Diceros bicornis minor: one gene and its partners. The protein of the gene in region 3 binds, or shares a complex with, the protein of the main gene of each other region. Links are inferred from orthologs where the notes say so. Each region holds a gene or a part of one and is shown on either strand. Other genes may lie near its edges.

The links.
Region 1: the proteins of LIMS1 (region 3) and RSU1 are in contact, whole or in part, in a crystal structure (PDB 7LT9), measured with the Homo sapiens proteins. The link is inferred for Diceros bicornis minor from reciprocal best matches to the Homo sapiens genes LIMS1 and RSU1. Residues at the interface, in NP_001180417.1 of Homo sapiens: Cys252, Phe253, His254, Cys255, Asn256, Leu267, Asn268, Lys269, Ser279, Thr280, Cys281, Asn282, Thr283, Glu293, Phe294, Asp295, Met296, Lys297, Cys303, Lys306, Phe307, Pro308, Glu310, Leu311, Arg314, Leu315, Lys317, Leu318, Ala319; in NP_036557.1 of Homo sapiens: Asp21, Ser23, Asp24, Gln44, Val46, Ser48, His49, Val67, Asn69, Phe71, Asn72, His90, Asn92, Met95, Glu112, Asp115, Thr117, Tyr118, Arg137, Ala138, Tyr140, Ser142, Asp143, Ile161, Ser163, Arg165, Asp166, Glu184, His186, Gln188.
Region 2: LIMS1 (region 3) and PARVA share a complex: the UniProt entries of both Homo sapiens proteins name them as parts of the heterotrimeric IPP (ILK-PINCH-PARVIN) complex. The link is inferred for Diceros bicornis minor from reciprocal best matches to the Homo sapiens genes LIMS1 and PARVA.

What each region holds. Positions count from the first base shown.
Region 1 is NC_080775.1:17,074,478-17,081,404, reverse strand, and holds the start of RSU1 (ras suppressor protein 1), read left to right. Parts: upstream 1-3,878; 5' UTR 3,879-3,999; intron 4,000-4,241; 5' UTR 4,242-4,244; coding exon 4,245-4,353; intron 4,354-6,927. UniProt on the Homo sapiens protein: Potentially plays a role in the Ras signal transduction pathway. Capable of suppressing v-Ras transformation in vitro.
Region 2 is NC_080746.1:70,670,543-70,678,103, forward strand, and holds the start of PARVA (alpha-parvin), read left to right. Parts: upstream 1-4,472; 5' UTR 4,473-4,524; coding exon 4,525-4,660; intron 4,661-7,561. UniProt on the Homo sapiens protein: Plays a role in sarcomere organization and in smooth muscle cell contraction. Required for normal development of the embryonic cardiovascular system, and for normal septation of the heart outflow tract.
Region 3 is NC_080779.1:5,228,467-5,236,079, reverse strand, and holds the start of LIMS1 (LIM and senescent cell antigen-like-containing domain protein 1), read left to right. Parts: upstream 1-4,598; 5' UTR 4,599-4,613; coding exon 4,614-4,795; intron 4,796-7,613. UniProt on the Homo sapiens protein: Within the IPP (ILK-PINCH-PARVIN) complex, binds to F-actin, promoting F-actin bundling, a process required to generate force for actin cytoskeleton reorganization and subsequent dynamic cell adhesion events such as cell spreading and migration.

The DNA of each region.
Region 1 (6,927 bases), on a different chromosome or scaffold from region 3:
AGTCGCCCTCATCTGGTCTTCAGGGAACTGGCTGGGATAGCTCAGGGTGAGGTGGCCACAGGCTTTTTCTGGACCCAGTGGAATCTCCTGGCACTTCAGGCATTCTTGTGAAGAATGCCCCAGGGAATGGAGGGGGCCAATGACGGTTTGGGGCTAGGAGATGCCCAGGATATGGGTTCTACTTGAAATAATTTCCTATTAAATTTCAACTCCATTTAATGGGAGGAATTTGTTAAAAATCTGCCACACACTCACCAAAGGAATACTAACATCATTAATTTTATTAAGAAAAATGAGAGCTAATATCTATATAACATTTGCTCTACACCAGGCATCATTCTTATGTATTACTCACTGAAATAGAATACTAAGAACCATCAGCCCCATCTTATAGTTGAGAAAAATGAGGTATGAAAAAATTATATAAAACTTGAGTGACAGAGCTGAGATTCTAACCTTGGCAACCACCCCAGAGAGTGCCTCCCACCCGGCCTGAAGGATTAGGTGTGAACTTATTAAATATGACAGTCAAACTATCCTCACAGATCTATTGAAATTATTAAAAAAGACTGACACTGTTATATGACCTAGAAAAAATTTTAATGTAATTGCTGTTAGTTGAGTAAAAACTTAAAGATTATACAGCATTAAAAATAATGTTAGTGAAAGAAAATTTTTTACTTGTTGAGATCACACGTCACCCCATGGCTGTCAATTTAATGGAGAAGTTATTGGAAGAAAAATGATATGATAATTCTTCTATATTTGATGAAGAATTTGCTTTTCAAATTTTAATTTGATAATTTTATTTATATGTCACTTAGTAAGTCGTTTATTATAAATATGGTTTAGGGAATAAAAAAGGCTTTTTTTTTTTTTTTGGTGCAGATCTTTGGAAAGATTTGCTCTGGCCTAACATCTGTTGCCAATCTTCCTCTTTTCTCTCCTTCTTTTTTCCCTCCCCAAAGCCCCAGTGCATGGTTGTATATCATAGTTGTAAGTCCTTCTAGTTCTTCTATGTGAGCCACGGCCACAGCATGGCAGCTGACAGATGAAGTGGTATGGTTCCATGACCAGGAACCCAAACCCAGGCTGCTGAAGTGGTGAGAGTGCCAAACTTTAACCACTAGGCCATCAGGGCTGGCTCAAAAACAGCATTTTTAGAATTAATGATTTACGAAATAATTTACGTGAATTTACCAGTAGTCATAGTCTGGCGTGCCTCAGGTGGACCAGGCATCTTCCATACCCTATCTTTGATTGGCTCACTCTGTGGGCGGAGGGGAGGCAGTGGTAGTACATTCCTTCTAATTTTGAAGTATTGAAGCACAGATTCTATCTCAGCATAGAGCATTTGGCAGTGATGCCGTGGCAGGGTTTTATGCTCTGATAAATATTGACTTCTTGCAGGATTGGCTACATAATTTGCAGGGGCCAGTGCAAAAGGAAAATGCAGGGCCTCTTGTTAAAATAATTATTAAATGTTTCAAGCTGGTGACAGCAGGGCATTAAACCAAGCATGGGGCCCATCTAAGCCCGGAGCTTTGTATAACTGCCTAGGTCACATACTGAGGAAGCTGGGCCTATTTCCATGTTATAAAAATCGGGAATTTAGGGACACATTTCCTTCAGAATAGCACGGGTATAAGTGAAGAGTCTGAGAGGAAAATTATCAGGGAGTGAAAGCAAATTTCTGGAAAACAGGAAGTGAATGGAAGCATGCTGACAAACGAAACAGAAAGAAACTGCAGCCCAAAATAATTTCCAGAGAGAAACGCAGCAGAATTGGGACTCTACTTTCCAGGTGTTATCTGACGGGGCTGGCAGGTGCAGGGTGAAAGGGTGAGCTAGGAAGTAACAGAATTGTATAAGTGGCTCAGAATTCACAATTTCCCTCCACCAGCAAAGGCAGCCTTGTGATTACAGGCAGCTGTAAAACTGGGCTCTCAGCTCTCAAGAAATTTAACCAACAGCTCAGGGAAAATTAATGCTGACCCAGGAGGGAAACAAATACAGATCAACAACAGATGAGGAAAGAAACCACACCAGCTATCTAGAAAAGTCAGCTTAGACTTCATGCTTGAATATGAAAGGACAACCCAGAATCAGCAGACAGAGGAAGAATTACAGCAGCATGAATGGGAAAAAAATCTAGGTACACACATATAAAAAGGGACACTTGAGGAAACATAATTTAGTAAACAGAGAGAGGTCTACAAATTGTTATCCTCAGAGATATTTGAGAAGAGAGTGCATTCATGAGACAAAAGCAGGCTGCTATTGAACAAGAAAGAGGACTTAGTATTTTTTGTTAATAGCCAAAATAATTTTCAAAAATTTAATAAAAGATTTGGAAGATAAAGTTGAGATAATATTCCAGGACATTAAGCTAAAAAGACTTTTAAAAATGAAAAAATATGAGAAAAAAGATAACTGTAGCAAATCAGCCCAGGAGGCTGCCATCTGACTAACAAGATTTCCAGAAAGAGTGATAAATCAGAGAAAATGGCAGGAAAGAAATTGCAAAGCAACAGCAGAAACAATTTCCAGGGAGGAAGAGAGAAATGAATCTTCAGCTGAAAAGGACCCCAGGAGTGCTAAACAGATTAAGTGGAAAAAGACCACCAACCAGAGATATTATGGTGAAATTTCAGAACATGATGAATAATAAAAAGAAAAATTACAAATGTTTCCCAAGAGAAAACAACAGTTCCCCGCAAAGACTTTTGAGGAGACCGACACATTTCTAGGCATTAACATTGGAAGCTGAAGTCAGTGGAACTGTGCCTTCAGGATTTTAGAAACTCATCTTGAACCTAGAATTCTGTGCTAGACAAATGAATAAAGGTATTGGCAAAATAAGGACATTTAAAAACATGTAACTACTCAAAATTTGTGCCTCCTACGCACCCTGTTAGACAAAGCTACTTGAGAGGTACTCTAGCAAGATGTAGACAGGAAATGCCAGTTTCAACCCAGAAACCAAGTGAAAAGAAATCACAGATAGCCACTCAGCTGCAAGGACAGAAAGAATCAGTTACAGCAGTAAGTTAGTGGGTTCCTCAAGTCCTCAGGAAGAATTGATTGGATTTCAAGCAATGGAGAGGAATGAAAAGCGGCAAGATCTTAGGCATAGGGTAAAGAAGGTTACAAAAAGAAAAAGAAAAGCAGTTAGACACTCTAGTGAAAAAACAATGAAAATCGTATAAGGACATTATCATTCAACAGAAAGCAAACTAAAATATGGTATAATTTTGAGTGCAGTGTAGGAAAAGAGGTCATTTATTTATCCGACCATGCTCCCCTTCCTGTGACACAGAGGTCCATGATTGCGAGCTGGGCGCAGGGGACACACAGACCACCACCGAGTTTTCGTCGTAGAGGAGCTCATAAGGCAGCGGGAGGCACAACTGTGGAGAAAGGATTCAGGGTAGCAACTTCTGGTAAGTGGAGCCACACTCACAGAAGCAGGACACCGACAGAAATGGACTCCAAACTTCCCCAGGACCTAACCTCAGCTACAAACGTCCCTCCGCAGTCGCTCCCCCAACTTCCCCGCTTCCGCCCACAGCACTGTGCGCTTCGACCTAGGAACTGAGCATGCGTCAACCTAGTGCGCACGTGCTCACTCCGGTCCAATCGGAATCCCGAGCCCCGGGGATTCCAGGGGGCTGGACTAACCTCGGGGTGGGGCGGAGTCTCAAGGCCGAGTAACGGACGTGATTGGTCGGCCGCAGGGTACACATTCTTTTTAATGGGCGGAGCCTCGCCCCTGAGCCACGTCTAGTAAACTGTTCTCCTAATTTGGGAAGGGTCGGGGGCGGGCGGGGCGTGGAGCGGAGAGCGGCGCGGTGTGCGCCTGCGCCGAGCGCCGGGCCAGGGCGTGTTCCTCGCTGGGGTGCGCGTTTTGCTCAGTTACTGTGCATCTCCTGCCGCTGAAGTGCGCCCTGCGGAAGCCGGCCGCTCCCGCGCCCAACCTGTTAGGTGCTGCCCTCCGCGGTGAGTGTGCGTGCCATTGCACTCGGGGTTGCTTCTCTCCGCGCGGCCGGAGTGGTGCTGGACCCTCCCCACTCCCCTGCCCCGCCCTGTCCCATCCCCCTCCCTGCGCTCGGACTCTGCCCGCTGATGCCCACTTTCCAGGGCCAGGGCAACAACAGAAAGTGCCAGCCAGGCTCTCTCCTTTCTATCCCTGCACCCTCCTGGCCGTCGCTCACGTGCTTTGTTGTTGTCATTTGGTACAGATCATGTCCAAGTCTCTGAAAAAGTTGGTGGAGGAGAGCCGGGAGAAGAACCAGCCGGAAGTGGACATGAGCGACCGGGGCATCTCCAACATGCTGGACGTCAACGGCTTGTGTAAGTTCTCGGGCAGGACCTTCCCCTGGGAGGAGCTGGAAGGGTTTGTAAGTTTTCCGAGTAACTGCCAAGTCGTGGTATGAGAGGTTGTAATGGGTTACATCCCACCCCTGCTTGTAAACACCCCTTGTCAAGAGCTCAGCTCAGAAAGTTTGCAGTCAGAATCTGTTCTGTTCCCACTGGAAAATGAACATGAGAGCTGGGATAAGAACCACACAGACTGTTCCTGCTGAACCTCCTCAGATGTCTGTGCTGATTTATGGCATTTGGGTGGCTTTTCCCCACAGTTTACTTAATACCCACTTTATGTTTTAATTAAATCATTTTTGAATCATTCTTCTTTTCGCCTAATATAGTCTTTGGCCCTTGAACAAACGCCACACAAAAGTTACATGATAGGTATTCTTGTGCCTGGAGTCTGTTAAACGTTTCTTGACTCGTTACCTTTTTCTGGATCTTTATTCTCCTAACTTAGTTCAGGCTTTTGTAATCTCCTGTTTTGTTATCTCCTGCTTGTGCTATTGTGATGTCTTCCTAACTTTCTCTCTCACCTCCAGTTTTACTGCCCCTGTAGTTTAGTCGCTGTATTGCTTTCAGTGTTATTTTCCTGTAACACATATTATTGTGTTACTCTCCTTTAAACCAGGGATTGCAAACTCAAATGCCTGCGGGGGCCAGGTGAGGATGGTCACGAACTCCATAATAGTATCCCATCTGAAGGGGTAGCTGCTACACCTGCTACTCAGATCCAAACACTTGTCACCACCTGGGGACGTTGGCCCAGTGTTGTCAGATTTTTTTTTTAAGAAGCCAAGAATCCACATCAAATTTCCTGATTTTTAGAAGTTGGCAACTAATTCCAATATTTGAAAAATACTTTAGACGTGAAACAAAACACTTCTTCAGGCTGAATGTGGCTTCTGTTTGGACCTTCTCCCTTAAACACTCCTCCTGGTTTTCAGTACCAACAGTCATGCCCCAGGTTCCTTGACGTGACATGCAAGGCCTGTCTGAATCTGACTACACTCTACCTTAGCTCCTGTCCCTTCCATGCATTTGGCGTCCCAGCCATACTGAACCCATTGCCTTTCCTGAACCAGGGTGCACTCTTTGGGGTCTTCGTGCCTTTACAAGTATTGTTGCTTTGCATTCCGCCTTTCTTCACCTGAAATGCTTTTACTTTATCTGTGAAGGGTCAGCTCAGATGTCACAGCCTACGTGAAGCCTTCTCTGTCTGTAGCAAGCAGACACAGTCACTCCTTCCTCTGTGAAGTTGGATGTGCTTTGCTTCATGACTCTTGTTACAGAGGATTGTAATGCATTCCTAATCTAAACGTCTCTTTCCCTTTGGGAGACTGGGGGGACTAAAGCTGTGCAATATTCACGTTTGCTGCCTTTACCATAGTGCCTGGAACACAGTAGGAGCTCAGAAATGTGTGATGAATGAAGGAAAGAAGGATGGATTAGGCCTGCAAGTTTATGAGATCCAGACTGGGATGTGACACTGGAGGAGAAGAGGAGGTGTCCAGGAGACCCTGAAAGATGATGGATTGCTTGTGAGGCATGGAGAGCACGGAGTCAAATTTACTGTGAATCCCTGGTTTGTGCCTGGGACAGAGATTGGGGTTGGTGCTGTCGATACATCTCAGCAGAAGGAAAAGGGCTGAAAAGCTTAGACGATTTGTGTTTGGTAACCCTTAGGAAGACACCTGCCGTTAAACTTAGCTTTTGTACTAATTAGCATCTCAGCCCCTTGGGATGTGTTGTCCTGTCTCCGTGGTGGTTGCTTCTCGGTGGCAGCAACAGAGCGGATGTCTGGTTCTGAATTGGCAGTTACGAATCTGGATGTGTCCCTGCGCTGGCCTGGCTGGCTCTGCTGTGGTCGTGATGGTCATCAAGAGCATTCTGCAGTAGAGGAAGAGGATGGCGAGCGGCAGGCAGGAGGCCTGGCTCAGCTGTGTTCTTGGCCTCATGGCTTTCTGCTCTCAACTCTGTTTTTCTCATGGGGTTGAAGAAAGAGGTTGCTTTCAGCAGAGGAACTTTATTCTCCTCAGCTTTGAAGAGGACTCTTTATGTAATATTTAGAAGTAGTGGGAGTGTGGTGTAGCTATTTCGGTTCACTTGCGTTATCTCTTTGAAGCCTTGGCTTTTATTGAAGAAGCAAAGATAGCCACTTGCTTCCTGAAAAAGATGTTTCCGGTGTAATATTATTTGCTGAAAAGCAAGATCCTTCTTAAGTTTTCTGAAAGAAGCGGCTTAAGGAAGAACCACAGTGCTTCTGGGGAGTTCGTGGAAGTGAATTTGGAGATTCTGCCTCCTCTGTAGTGTGTGTAGACCCAAGGAGTGGCTACTTTCTCCCATAACTCCCTGACTTCTGGACTCTTGGAGCCTGGAGGGTTCCAGGGTGCCTTCAGAAGCCCATTCCTCAATTGGGGCTCATTTATCAGTACTGTACATAATGCTTACTTTTTTTTTTTTTTTGCTGAGGAAGATTCACCCTGAGCCAACATATGTGTTAGTCTTCCTCTACTTTGTATGTGGGTCGCTGCCTCAGCATGGCTGCCAACGAGTGGT
Region 2 (7,561 bases), on a different chromosome or scaffold from region 3:
TTATACATACAGAAAATTGCTCGAATTATTAAGTTCATTCTCCATGAATTTTCAAAGTGAATACACCCATGTAACTAGTCACGCAGGTCAAGAAACAGAACATTACTAGCTCCTGTAGCCTCCCTCTTGCCTCCCGCCACTGCCCCTGCCCCCTTCTAGTCACTATCTCTCCCATGGCTAATCATTATCCTGACTTCTAATATCACAGATTAGTTTTGCCTGTTTTTGTACTTTATATGATTAGAATGATAGAGTATATCCTCTTTTGTCTGATTTTTTTCACTTAACATTATATTGAGATACATTCCTATTGCTGCTTGTAGTTGCAAATTGTTCATTCTCATTGCTGTATAATATTCCATTGTGTAATTATCAAAATTTATTTACTGATTCAACTGTTAATAGGCATTTGAATTATGTTACCATGAACTTTCTAGAACATGTATCTAGGTGCACAAATTTAGTCATTTTTGTTGAGTGTAACCTAGAATTGAAATTGTTGATCATAATGTATGTGTGATGTTCAGCTGTAGTAGATACTACTGCCTTGGCTTTGCTTTACTGATAATAGAAATAAAAGTACACAAGGGACAGAGATTTGTCGAAGGTCACCTAGCCAGGACTGAGCCAGAACTGGAACTGGGTAATTCACTCCAAGGTCTAGATTTCAGGGACAGACTGGCCTAGAGATTCAGCAGAGGTTCACAGCTACACACATTTAACTTATGAGCTGTCTTTATCATCTAACCCTTGGGTAGCATAACACCAACCACCAAGCATGAGAAGGCTGCTCATCAGTGGGGCCATAATTGTAAATACCAATTTAGATTGGAGGGAGCTGGTGCATCCATCTTCTCTGCAGCTTATCAAAGAACAGCATGTTTGTGTCGCTGATTAAGCTAGATTTAGATTCAGTCTACTTCAGTGCCAGGCCCTGTGCAAGGTGCTTTCCTATATATTATCTCATTTACTCTTCTGAACAAACACCAGGTCAATTCACATCCATAACGACTATAAAAGCATAACATCAAAAGAGAGTATATAAACTCTGTAAGCAAACCGGAGCAATTTAGAACAGTGCTTTTTAAGCAATCTATGGTGAACGACCAATCCATCATAGATCAGTATTTTGTAAAATACAATAAAAAAAGAATTATTAGAAAAATAAAAAGACATTCAAAATATAAGCTTCCAATTTTTATTATCAAATTAAACAAATATAAAAAGTGCACTGTTAAATTGTTATAAAAGTTTCTAAACACTCTCAGTTTCTATATTTATATCATTGAGGACCGATAACAGTTTGCAGATCAATACTGGTTTTCAGGCTACACTTTATAATTCACCATCCATCCCCCCTTGGCCTTTCAAGAGAGATTGATAATTATCTTAGAGGCAGAAAGGTTTGAATAACAAGACATCTGCATAATATTGAGACCCTGGAAACCACTCACACCCATACAGGTTACTGTCTACATTAGGGGGACTTTATCATTCCCCTATCTTTATCAACATAACTCTATTCCAAAAAACTCTTGCACAGAAAGATTAAAGTTACAAATAACTTCTTTTTATTCAAAGACTTCCCCCAAAATCTCATTGAAATAAACATAAAACCCTTAAACTTTTCAATAGATAGCATTAAAAAGACGATTTACTCTTGTCTTGTCTTGTGTTCACAGATCCTATACTACTATATCACAAGCCTTAGCCAAAATAAATCAAGCATCACCCCATTGAAAGACCTGCCTTAAACTAGATTCCAAAACCTTATAAATATCCCCACTTTGCCCTCCCCCAGTCCAAAATGCTATTAAGACTGCCAAGGCAGGGCTTTTCTTACCCTGGTATACAATAAACTCAGTTTTACCTTCTCTACAGCTTGGTTTGCTGGTATTTTCTGGGAGCCAGCATTCAACAATCTAGACTTTCCTTTGTTTGTTCCTCCTGTTAGTCTTGCTCAGTTGCTTTCCAACTTTAGTATGCATAAAAATTACCAAAGAGGGTTGTATATACAAAAGCGTGCACAAGCAATTTAAGAGATCTCTATGTGTAATTTTGACCATGCCATATTTAGGACCTACACCCTGCATACAGATATCAGCAATTGGTGACGAATAGAGAATCATAGACTGTCAGAGCTGAAAGTGGCTCTAGGTGCCCAAACATCAGTGCGTGGATCAGCTACTTTGAAATCCTATACCTGATGTAGCCCCTGTTAAAAAATACCCATCCTTTGGGGCCGGCCAGGTGGCACAAGCGGTTAAGTCCACGGACTCTGCTGCAGCGGCCCAGGGTTCCCCAGTTAGGATCCCAGGTGCGCACCGACGCACCGCTTGTCAAGCCATGCTGAGGCGACGTCCCATATAAAGTGGAGGAAGATGGACACGGATGTTAGCCCAGGGCCAGCCTTCCTCAGCCAAAAAAAAAAAAAAAAAGAGGAGGATTGGCAGATGTTAGCTCAGGGCTGATCTTCCTCACACACACAAAAAAAATACCCACCCCCTTGGTTTCACCTCGGAGGTACCGAATCAGCGTTTCTAGAGGTGGGGCCTGTGAATGTTTGTAACAAACTCCCTAGGGGATTGTGACGAATAATCAGGTTTGAGAACCACCATTCTGCTCCACCACTTCATTTTGTAGATGAAGAAATGGAGATTCAGAAAAGGGAGTAAACTCGCCCAAGATCACATGGCTACTGAGCTGTGCGGCTCATGAGTCCCTGGCAAGAGTTCCCAGGGCTAAAGATCAGATTTTGGAGATGTCCTTATGTATCCAATATCTGAACAAGAATGATTAATGAGGTCATCAACCCACAATTCTATTTTGGCTTCTCAGCATCTCTTTAAGATTTATCAAGGTGATAGTTGGGGATGGGGGTGGGGGTCACGTGTCATAATCTTCCCCTGCTCCTGGGTGAAAATTCTAGCCGTCATCATGACTTCTCTGCTTTCTATTAGGTCAGAGGCATCAGCTAAAGTATAATTTTCAAAAGAGGTAAAATTATGACTCTTAAGCAAGGATAAAATGAACACGTACTGAGACTCTATTGTCCCTCTCGTTTGTTAAATTTTTGTTGTGCTCAGGAATTGTTGCTTGTCATTTTGCTGCTTAGCTCAAGTAAAGGCGGATGGGTTGTTAAAAGGCTTTAGGAACACGTCCTAGGAAGGCCGCGCGCCCCGCCACCCCCCCCCCCCACACACTATAAGTGAGCACCTGGAAGGAGTCAAGGCCCAGGCAGCTACTCCCCATGGTTGTTCATTACTCAGACCACACTCTTTGCTCCATTCTTTTGTTTCTCTACTCATCAGCATGCATGTGGCTAGACATTGACACCCCAGTCTTCAGTCTGCATGATCATCACTAAGTGCTCAACTTTGGACAACAGTGTCTGGAGCTTAGTCCGGATTCTTGATGGACACTATCTGATGGGCAGCTCTCCAGTCAAGGATCAGCATCCTTTGGGTCGGGTGATCACTCAGGGTCAATCAGCTGTACCTACTTGGAGGAAACACAGTTGCCAAGGGGCTGTGTGAGTGTGTGTGTGAAAGAGAGACGGCCAGGAGATCCCAAGTGAGAACTTCAAGAGGGCAAGAACAATAAAATGTGTCTTTTAATCAATTCCAGCAAGAGTGCTTGACACATTGCGGTTTGTGCCTCTCCCTATTACTCCAAATGAGTCTGGTTGTCACTCTGTTGCTTTTATTTAGGCGGGATAAGTTTGGGATGGGGGTGTCTCACAGGAGCCCACGGCGTACCTTCCAAATCATGTTTCCACCAATATTTGGGATCCTCCTTTGTACAAGCCATTGAGTTGCTAGACACAGGGGTGTTTTGTAAGAAGCCTCGGCCCTGCGCTCACGGACTTCAAACTTCTCAGTCTTGGATGGGTGTGAAGAGGAGGTTGACAGCGAGGACAAGTGCAGGAACAGTTGGATGTGCCCAGTTGGCAGGACCTGAACAAATTTGGGTCACTCTATTTCTTCCTAGAGCTGGCTCACTCTCCTTTGTGGGCACAAGACATGGGCCTAATAGATGTCCAGGTAGAAATAAACGCAAGGGAAGCGCGAGCTCCTCACCAAGCAGGCGGGGCGAAGGCTCTGGGAGACAGAGGAGCAGGTGGGTTCGGTTCAGCAATCACTGAACCCCCATTTGTGCCTGGATCTGTGCTGGGTGCAGAGCCGGGGGAAAGGAGGCTCCCGGGCTGGAGGGGCACACAGACTGATCATGCCGCACGTCCTGCAAGGGGCAGATTTGGGGCACCCTCCCTGCTGCGGGCAGCCAAGGGGCGCGGGGCGCAGGACCGGCCGGGGCGAGGGCCCGGAGCGCGCAGCTCCTTCCAGGGCGGAGGGCGGCGCGAGGGAGGGAGAGAGGGAAGGGAAAGGCGAGCGTGAGCTGCCTCAAATGCTTGGAATAATTCCGCTTCCGTTTGGAAAGCCGCAGCCTCAGTCCCGCCGCGCCCGCCGCGTCCGCCCAGCGCCAGCTCCGCGTCCCGACCGGCCCGCGGCTGCCCGCTCCCCCGCCATGGCCACCTCCCCGCAGAAGTCGCCCTCTGTCCCCAAGTCCCCCACTCCCAAGTCGCCCCCATCCCGGAAGAAAGATGACTCCTTCTTGGGGAAACTCGGAGGGACTCTGGCCCGGAGGAAGAAAGCCAAGGAGGGTGAGTGCGGCCCGGCCTGACGAGCGGCAGGGGCCGGGGCAGGGGGCCTGGGCTCGCAGGGCCGCGCGGGCGCGCGCCGCGGGTGCCCGGGGCGGTGGGAGCGGGGCGCGGCGGCGCGGGCGCGCGCTTCCCGGGAACCTGGTGCCAGTCTGTGCGCGCCCTGCGGGCCCCGCCGCCGCCCTGCCGGTGGTGGCCCGGCGCTGCGCTGCAGGGCCCGGGCGCTCGGGTGGGACAGCCCGGCACTGGGACCAGGCGACGTCCGCGCAGGGCCTGGCGGCTCTGCGTGGTCCGAGGGCCGAGGAGCCCGAGGCGGCGTCCTCCCGTAGGCCCCAAGTCCCCGCCCTCTCCGCCCCGAAGGCTGGCATTTCCCAAGTTTCTGCAGAAACTTTTCTGGGCGCCGTCACTCTGACTCTTCGCTTTCATTGGTCTTTGCCATCAGGTCGTTTCCTAGACCTGCTTAGGTCCAGATGCAGCGTTGGCCTCTTTGGATCTTTTGTCCATTCCCAGGGCCCAGCAGGGTTCTATTAATGAGTAGATCAACATCAAATGTTTGTTGAATGAATGAGGGATAATGTAATAAATGATCCGGCCATGTAATAAATGATCAAGTTGCACCAGAGGAGAAAACCCGGATTAGACACACACACTTAGCATCCTGCGCTGCGACCCTTCTGTGAACTCAGGAGTTGATGGCTCCTGCAAAAACCATTTCCTTTTTCCCACCAGGGTGAATTGAGGCGATCTTATTTTTTTCCAGGACAGTTTGCATGTAAAGTATTTTGTTCCATGGGCAGATTTCACATCCTGGTTTTTGGTTTGAAAAATGAGGTCACAGTTCTGAAGAAGCACTAGTGATGGATGTGTAGGTAGAAGTTGTTTGGTTAAATTTTTTTCATAGATTGCTCAGTGGTTTGGGAATAACTCTTCTGAAGGCGATGATGCTGGGATGGAAAATAAGTTTTATGTTCTGAGTTATCCTAAAGCATAAAAAAGAACTTCAGTGTTGAGAATTATCGAACTTGACACAAAGAACTAGACTTCTGTTGTCTATATTGATGTGAAAAGCAGCAAAACAGATCCCCAAAAATGTTTCCCCCCAGTGTGGTTATTTTGGTAAACCGTTGTCTGAGTAGTGTACAGTTGGTAGCAAATCATGAAACCCTGGCTTGGAAAGTCCTTTTCTAGACTACCCTTCTAACTTTTTCCTACAGTATTCCTGATATGGGCTCTCTAGCTTCAGACTGGGCAACTCAGAATTTCTGAAGCTCATGACCTCCCAGGAGAGCTCACCCCACCTTTGCAACTCTTTAGAAAAGTTTGCTTTATTGTAAAAGTAAAAAGTTGATCTCTCTGTATCTACTGTTATTCTATTCATGGAGCTGGGAGGATGAGTCTGAGGGTGGCCTTCACTCTTTTCCAGTGGATAGCCTGTGTCCTAGTTTTCCCTTCACCAGTCCAAACATCCTCTGTTCCTATAGCTGGTCCTCATAGACATGATTTTATGGCCCGCTGGCCTCCTAACTCTTCAGTTTTGGTCAGGACCCCTGCAGGAAACAGAAGGTCAACTTAGTTGGGATTTTGAAAATAGAGTAGTGAAGGGACTATGTAGAGAGGTGTGGGCAGGGTTAAGGGAACCCAGAGGGGTGATGAGGAACCTAGGGGCCAGCAGCAGACAGTGGGAAGCTCTTACCACCCCTAGGCCTGAGGGGACAAGGGGAGCAAACCAGAACCCATTGAGAGCTGGAGCTGTGGAGGGTGGGCTGCCTGGCAGGAACTGTAGCTGCAGAGGGACACAGCCACTGTGGGAGATGTGGAGGTGGAGCAGGGAGACAGGGCACAAGAGATACTCTGCGTGTTCTCTCTCTTCTTGCCCTGGAATCTCTTGTTGGTGTTTCCCATTGGCTGGACCCAGCGGGAAGTCACAAGGACTAGGGAATATGGGTGATGCAATATGTGGGGGTCAGCTCGCTTAGGGCACAGAGCAGTGCAGAGAATAGATCATAGTGGGGGAGGGGGGCTGGAGAATAACTAGCAGACCCTCTCAAAGTGAGCTGCCCAGAGGTCAACATAATGCTTACTAGTCCAGTCCAGCCAGCCCAGGTGAGAACAGAGCTGTCACCTCCTTTGCTCTAGCACAGACACCATGTTCTCTTCATGCAGCTAAGCCTGCTTTTCTTTTTTTTTTTTTTTTTTTTTTTTTTTTTGTGAGGAGATCAGCCCTGAGCTAACATCCGCCAAACCTCCTCTTTTTTTTTGCTGAGGAAGACGGCCCTGGGCTAACATCTGTGCCCATCTTCCTCCACTTTATATGGGACGCCGCCACAGCATGGCTTACCAAGCAGTGCGTCGGTGCGCGCCCGGGATCCGAACCAGCGAACCCCGGGCCGCCGCAGCGGAGCGCGCGCACCCAACCGCTTGCGCCACCGGGCCGGCCCCTAAGCCTGCTTTTCTTCATTCTTCTGCCAGCTACTTCACGCTGTTATCTCTCATTGCACTTGCTATCTGCTTACTCAAAGACATTTTTATGTTTGTTGTTCCTAAACCATTTCCTTCCCTATCTGAGGTTTACTCAATTGGGTTTTTGAAACCAAGTACAAGATCTTATTATCATCTGTATTATACTTAACTGTTAAGTCCTGATTCTGTCATTCAGTCTATTAGCTAATCCAGGGAATGTAAATGGGGCCCACCGTCACCCAGCTCCAGCTGCTCGCTGTTGCACGTGGTGGTTCTGCGAGCCCAGTCAAAGAAGGCGTTGGGGTTGGTCTGAGATAACCCGCTGTTGGTGCGCGTGTGCTAGATCTCAGGGTTCAATGCTTTACCTGTCAAGGGCTCACTAACTATCACATCAGTAACAATAAGGCTAGATTTTTCTCTGGATCCTGCTGAACTCACAGCTCT
Region 3 (7,613 bases):
ATCTTGTTGGTGACCAAAAATCAAATCATTCTTTTAGTAAGCTCTTTAGTTTCATCAAAGGGATGGTTAAGATTAGTAGAACACACACGTACACACACATACGCAAACTATTAAAAGACTTGACTTTTCATTTTATAACTCAATGTAGTGTTTGAATTTTTTCCCAAATACATGTATTACTCTTTTTTCCTTCTTGTCAATATGATTATCTGGTGGATAGTTCTGACTTCTTTTTGTACTAATCTGTATGTATATAAACTTAATACATGTACATAATAATGTACACCTGTTAGAATAGCTGAAATAAAAAATAATCGTGATACCAAATGCTTGCAAGGATGTGGAAAAGTTGAATCTCTCATATATTGCTGCTGGTGGGAATGTAAAATGATACAACCACTCTAGAAAAAAGTTTGACAGTTTCTTAAAAAAACTAAACATACACTTATCATACAACTCAGCAATTTCACTCTTGGACGTTTATCCCAGAGAAATGAAAACCTATGTTCACACAGAAACCTGTGCATAGCTTAATTCACAACAGCCCCAAACTGGAAACTAGTTAACTGTCCTTTAGTGGGTGAATGGTTAAACAAACTGAGTTATGTCCGTTCCATGGAATACTACTCAGCAATAAAAAGGAGGAAGCTATTGATATATATAGAACTTGGATGGATTTCAAGGGCACTATGCTGACTGAAGGAAGTGAACCTTAAAAGGTCACTACTGTGTGATTCCATTTATGTAACTGTCTTAGTCAGTTTGGGCTGCCATAACAAATATACCACAGGCTACATGGCTTAAACAACAAATATTTATTTCTCAGGGTTCTAGAGGCTGGGAAATCCAAGATCAGGGCACCAGGAGATCAAGGTGTCTAATGAGGACCCACTTCCTGGCTTGTAGACAGCCGCCTCTGGTTGTATCCTCACATGGCCAATAGAGAGTCCTCTGTATCTCTTCCTCTTGTTCTAAGGGCAAGAGGGATTAATGCCCCACTCTCATGACCTAATCTAACGCTAATCACCTTCCCAAAGGCCCTACCTCCAAATACCATCACATTGGGGATTAGGCTTCAACGTGTGAATTCTGGAGGGACACAGACATTTGGTCCATAGCAGTAACTCTCTCTAAATTATAATTATATGGATGAAAAACAGATTAGTGGTTGCCAGGGGTTAGAGACGGCAGGGTGGGGAAAAGGTGGGTGCAACTATCGGAGATAACATGAGAGGGATCTTTGTGGTGATGGAATAGTTCTGCATCTTGATGGCGTGGTGGCTGCATGAATCTACCCATGTGATGAAATGACATAGACCTGTACACACACATTGTGCCAGTGTCAGATTCCTGGTGTTGGTGTCGTACCACAGTTACATAAGATACAACCAGTGGGAAGACTTCGTGAAGGGTACAAAGGACTTCTCTGTACAATTTTTGTAACTTCCTGCAACTCAATAATTATTTCAGAATAAAAAGTTAAAAATTTTATTGCAGACCTTTCATGTTATTTTTAATTCCTTGGCAGATAAGAGACTTCATTGTGTCATATGCTCATGAGCCATTAGCTTTTTCTTAGTTCTACTTTTCTATCTGGTAGAAATAAAACCAGTTGTTATGAAGTAAAGAAGATAATTAGTTAGATTTTTAGACCTCCTGCTGACTCAAAATGCAGACTGGCAACTAATTTGCTTTCATTGTTTTCATGGTTTGCTAGATCAAGTAGATGGATTATTAGCCCCAGTTCATTCACCAACAGATAATTACTGTGCATCTGCAGAGTGGTGGACTCTTCATGATGCTTGGGTACCGGCATGGACAAGACAAAGTTCCTCCCCTCCTGGAGGTGACATTTTTGGCATGTTAAGTGAGGCTAAAGGAAGGTAGAGAGCTTGGGTCCTGCTCTCCTGGATACTGTTTGAACTGAAAGGAAAGGGAAGTCTCCCCGTACCTACTTCTGTGTTCTGCCCTGTAGGTTGGTGTCTCCAAGTAGCATTACCTCAGTGTCGCAGAATATTTTGGATCTGATGATGTTTTTGGCAGGAGAATGAACATGATTCACAATCACTAGACCTAGTATGGATTAAGAACTGTAAAGAATATTGTAAGGAAAATAAACAAATAGAGCCTGACAGCTTTTTTCTTTAGGCATGGACAAATATATCAGTTACTGGAAGCACCAGTACAGGATGGATGTTATTTTATTTTGTTTATTTTATTTTTTGTGTGTGTGAGAAAGATCAGCCCTGAGCTAACATCCATGCCAATTCTCCTCTTTTTGCTGAGGAAGACTGGCCCTGAGCTAACATCTATTGCCAATCCTCCTCCTCCTTTTTTTTTTTGTTTTTTTCCCCAAAGCCCCAGCAGATAGCTGTATGTCATAGTTGCACATCCTTCTAGTTGCTGTATGTGGGACGCGGCCTCAGCATGGCCGGAGAAGCAGTGCGTCGGTGCGCGCCCAGGATCCGAACCCGGGCTGCCAGTAGCGGAGTGACCGCACTTAACCGCTAAGCCACGGGGCTGGCCCCAGGATGGATTTTATAAAGAGGTAAAAAACAAACAAAAACATTGGAGGCAGACGTCTGAATTTGAGTTTGGGACGTTGCACTTACTAGCTGTGTGACTTTGTGCAAGTCACTTAAGCTCTCTGAGAAGGTAATATTAGTCTTGTTTATTTTTTAATGCAGGATAAATTAATTCTTGAAAGCTAATAGTAGACTGGCAAGTTGGAAGGATTATTGTTGAGAGCATAGTGGTGGTGGGCCTCCTTCCTTCTATTTGACCATCAAGTCATTGTCTCGAACCTTCTCCCTGGGGAGGGCAAGTCCCTATGTTCATGGACTAGGTCCCAGTATACTGAGATAGAGAAGTTTAAAGATAATTAAAGATTGATTTTGAGTTTTGGAAAGAGGAGTGTCTTAGGTAAAGTAGAAATGTGAATATCTCTCTTAACATAATTAGGTTAAGAGAGAAGAAGTATTCTGGGCAGGAGACTCGTATGGCTCCCCACTTCCGACCATGCTACCTAACCTAGTTCAGTGCATTGTGTTTCTGGTCTCAGAGTCAGAGGGTGTGTGTGTGCGTGTCTGTGTGGATGTTTCCATGCCTGCTGCCTCCTCTCTCTGGTCCCCATGGTCATTGTAAAAAAAAAAAAAAAAAAAAAATTAAACATTTAAATATTTAAAAATGGTGAGTCTGTTGTTCCATCAGCCACAGGCCTCAGGCCTGGGCAGGATCCACAGCCTTTGAGTTTCTGACCTGTGTTCTGAAATCTGTAAGATTCAGAATGAGAAGACTGGATCTCATTTTCTGCTTCTAGTCCCATTTTTGTACCCGCTACCTAATCTTTTCTAGTTAACCTATTTTGCTCTCCAGCAATTACCTTTAACATTTGCTCGCATAGTAAACAACATAGGATCTAGGATCTAGAATCAGACTACGTAAGTTTAAATCTTGACTTCACCACATACTTACTAGTTATTCCTCATCTGTAAATAATACCTACTTTATTGGGATATGATAGTAAGCACTTACTAACACTTAGGCGTCATTCATTATTCATAGTTATGACTCAAGAGCCTCAGCGCATTTGATCTATTTGCTGTTGATTTCATGGCTCTCGTATCTCGAGTGTGATCTGCTCTGTTGGTCAATGTACCTTTTACCTATTCCCTAGATTTCCTTTCTCAATGCCCCTTGGTACCTTGGTGTTGGTGGGATGGCACGTTGGTACTGAGAGGACTGAGACTTGAGAAGACACTGACCCTTGTATTGCCCGTGGTGCTGCATCATCATCGTCTTCATGGCTAATACTGTTGTAAGACGACAGTAGTGTCGAGTGGGTATAGCAGAATGCCAGTGGCATCCTTAGTCATGATAAAGACCAAGACACGTTGGCTCACCTAAGTCACACAATTAGCTGGGAACTCCAGTTCTTCCGTATTTCCCTGTGTGTCCGTTCGTTGAACACAGTATGGAACTCTTACTATGTGCCAAGTGCTAGGATAAATAAAAGTCAAATGTAACTCTTAATTTCGGGGACTCTCAGACTCCTGGGGGAAGGCAGCCATAGGGCCTAGCTGGCAAGCATGCCCTGGGCATTATGATGCCCCTCAGAGTGTGTCGGCAACATTGCTCTCACCAGAGAGCTTGTTAGAAACACAGAATTGCTGGGAGTGTTTTACAAGCTCTCTGAGAGATTCCTGTGCCCACCAAAGTGGAGAAGCACAGTGTTAGTGGGACAGATACCCAGAGACTTGGATGTTTCTTTCTCTGGGAGCCTACCAAGCAGCCCTCTGTTTCTGTAGTAATGTGTACAGACACAGTCCACTGGGAAGGCCGCTCCAGCGAAGACTGTCACAACTTCGTGGAATGTTTTCTAGAGCTTCCAAAATGCCTCAGTAAATCAAGACTGTTATGCCCAGTGACTGCTTTGCTGCTGGAGCTCTTAACGTGAAGGGTCAGGAGCGACCCTGGCAGGCCTGGGGCTGACGTGTGTGGGAACAGTGGGAGTGACCCTGGCAGGGAGCAGGGCTCCTGCATATTGTTTCTCCAACTCCTGTCCAGCTCCCGCTGCTCTCTGCCCTGGGCTCCGAGCTCTCAAGCACCCACGGATGGCGTTCCCGGGCAGGGCGCGCCCCTATGTCATCCCAGAGAATGAAGAACTACCCCAGACAGCCCTTACCAGTGTCCACCAGGCGAATGGCAGTGAAGACGAGAGGGCTGTGTCGAAACTGCAGCGCAGACACAGTGACGTGCAAGTCTACAAGGAGTTCTGTGACTTTTATGCGAAATTGTAAGTGTCCGCTCTCCAGGAGTTCCCCCCTTCCACATCTAGCTTCTAGGGCTTTCAGTTCACTAGCCATTTGCAGTTTTATTTCCGCGACTTTCAGCAGGGGCTTCCCAGGGAGAGGAGGGGCCGGGGCCTCTCGGGGCTGCTCCCGGGCAGCCTGTTCCGGCAGGCAGGCAGGTTGCGCCTCCTGTAAACTTCCAGGGCCTGAAATGCACATGTGAAGGAAAATGCCGCCTTTCAATAAGAGTAGTCATGTCCTGGTCTTTAGTAGGTTCCTGATAATAGCACATTTTCATTAGATAGTCGAAGAGGGAGGTTTAGAGTTTTTGTTGTCAGGATTTGTAATAGAAAAATTTTATACTCTAAAACTTCCCGTAGATAAGATGCATGTTGAGGGAAACAGTGAAAAACTGAATTACAGACTATTGATAAAGATGCACATTTTTGTTATGTTTAACAACCAGCAATTTGAAGTAGGCTAACTGGGTTTTTCTTAATACAGTCTCTAAGAGATTGACTGAATAAATAAGGATGTTGTGTAACTAGCAAATATGTACATGTAAATTAAACATGGCGTTATCTCTAAAAAGTTAGTCTAATTCATATTATGAGATGGGTTTTAGCAGTTGTTTTTTTTTTAAATATTACAAAGTAGTATTTAGACCAACTCTTGTAAGATTGTTGACCTTATTCAAAGCTATATGCTTGGAATTATTGCAAATCCCTAATTTGTCAATTAAGAGTTAAAGAGAATTTAACTTGACCTGATTGTCTATTTCCATTAATCCATTCTGTGTCGTATTGCAACAGATGTCATTTCTTTTCACGACTCATACAGAGCTCTGTTTAAGAGTAATTGGGGCCGGCCCTGTGGCTTAGCGGTTAAGTGTGCGTGCTCCGCTGCTGGGCGGCCCGGGTTCGGATCCCGGGTGCGACGCACCGCTTCTCCGGCCATGCTGGGGCCGCGTCCCACATACAGCGACTGGAAGGATGTGCAACTATGACATACAACTATCTGCTGGGACTTTGGGGGAAAAATAAATAAATAAATAAAATTATTTAAAAAAAAAAGAGTAATTGGGCAGTTATAATTATATTATAGCCAAAATACTTGGTGATCTCTCAAGATGCTTTTTGGATTTACACATTTTTGCATTTTAATGCCAGAAAATTTGTTTCACATACTTTGATAAATGAGGCACTTGAGTAACGAAAGCTCAGGTTTTCTGTGTTCAGGTGATTTGTGGAAGTGGATCAGCTAAATCAGTTATGACTGGCCAGATATGAAGAGTCGCTACTAAAGGCTCTTACCTATCTATACTCCCCGACGTCTGTATTCCTGTCAGCAACACTTTTTAGTGAAAATTCTTTTCTGAAAAATTAGCCAATTAATTATAACAAGTGACAGCTATAACTATCATTCATGACTTTAAAAAAGTAACTTCTATCATATATAGTATTAAATACAAAAATCAACTGTAAAAAAACACATAGGTCAATATAGGTTCATCAGTTGTAACAAATGTACCTCTTTGGTGGCGATGTTGTAATGCGGGGCCCTGCATTTGCGGGGAGGGGGATGTGGGAAGTCTCTGTACCTTCCGCTCAGTTTTGCTGTGAACCTGCAGCTGCTCTAAAACATAGTCTATTAAAAAAAAAACACACATAGTGCCAGAGGGTCAAAGACAAGAGAGGAAAGGGAAATGTACACAGTTCACTATGTTGGTGAGATTATTGGTGTTTTTTTCCTGAAAGTTTCCTTTAATGTTCTGTTTCCTTTCTTTTCCTGCTTGTTATTAAAAGGAATACCTCTTCAAAAATACATATTATGTTATCTCTAAAACTAGTTTATTTTTTCTGTTTGTGGGAAAAACTTATATGCTTGATTTTGTAATGTGTCTACCTATTTTCTGACTCTTCGACTGTTTGAGTTTGAATATAAACAGTCTACAATATAGTGAGTATGAACAGGTCAGTGATAAATGTGCTGATCTTGGGACCCCTTGATGCTCTTAAAAATTATTGAGGTCCCCAGAGAGCTTTTGTTTTGTTCATCGGTATTTTCTGTATTAGAAAATAAAGCTGAGAAAATTTTAAAATATTTATTAATTTAAAATAACAATAAACTCATATATTAATAATATTTGAATAAATATTAATTTTTTATGAAAAATAACTTCCAAAACGACAAAAGCTTGGTGGGAAAAGTGGCATTGTATTACATTTTTGCAAATCTTGTTAATGTCTGTCTTAATAAAAGACAGTTTCGCATATCTGCTGCTGTGGTCATCCTATTATAACATTTTTTTAGATAAAGTATATAAAGAAAATATGGCCTCCCACAGAGATGTAATTGGAAAAGGGGAGGACCTTCCAAACTCCTGAAAGGGTCATGGTGGCCCCTACACTTTGAGAACTACTGATCTAGGTAATCATGAATCAGGACATTCCAGAATGTTCTTCTTTTCCAGCTTTTTTAGAGTTCTATTAAAATCATTGAGAATTTGGTGAATCTTTTGAGAGGATTTAAAATTAATAATAATGCTTTATATTTGAGTAGCATCTTCTGGTTTCCAAAGTGGTTTTACATACTTTTTCTTATTTTATCCTCAAACAGTACTAAGAACTATTGGGGCAGATGTGGGCTTACCATTCTTCATCAATGGACATCTGTGAATTTTGGTCAAAAGAAAGGGAGAATCACAAATCTTCACAGGAGCTTTGCTAAAAGTGCCACAGTCCATCTGGCTTACGGCAAAGCCCGGTGAAGAAGAGAATTTTACGGACTTTTCTCCCTAGCTCACAGTGATTTTGAGATGAC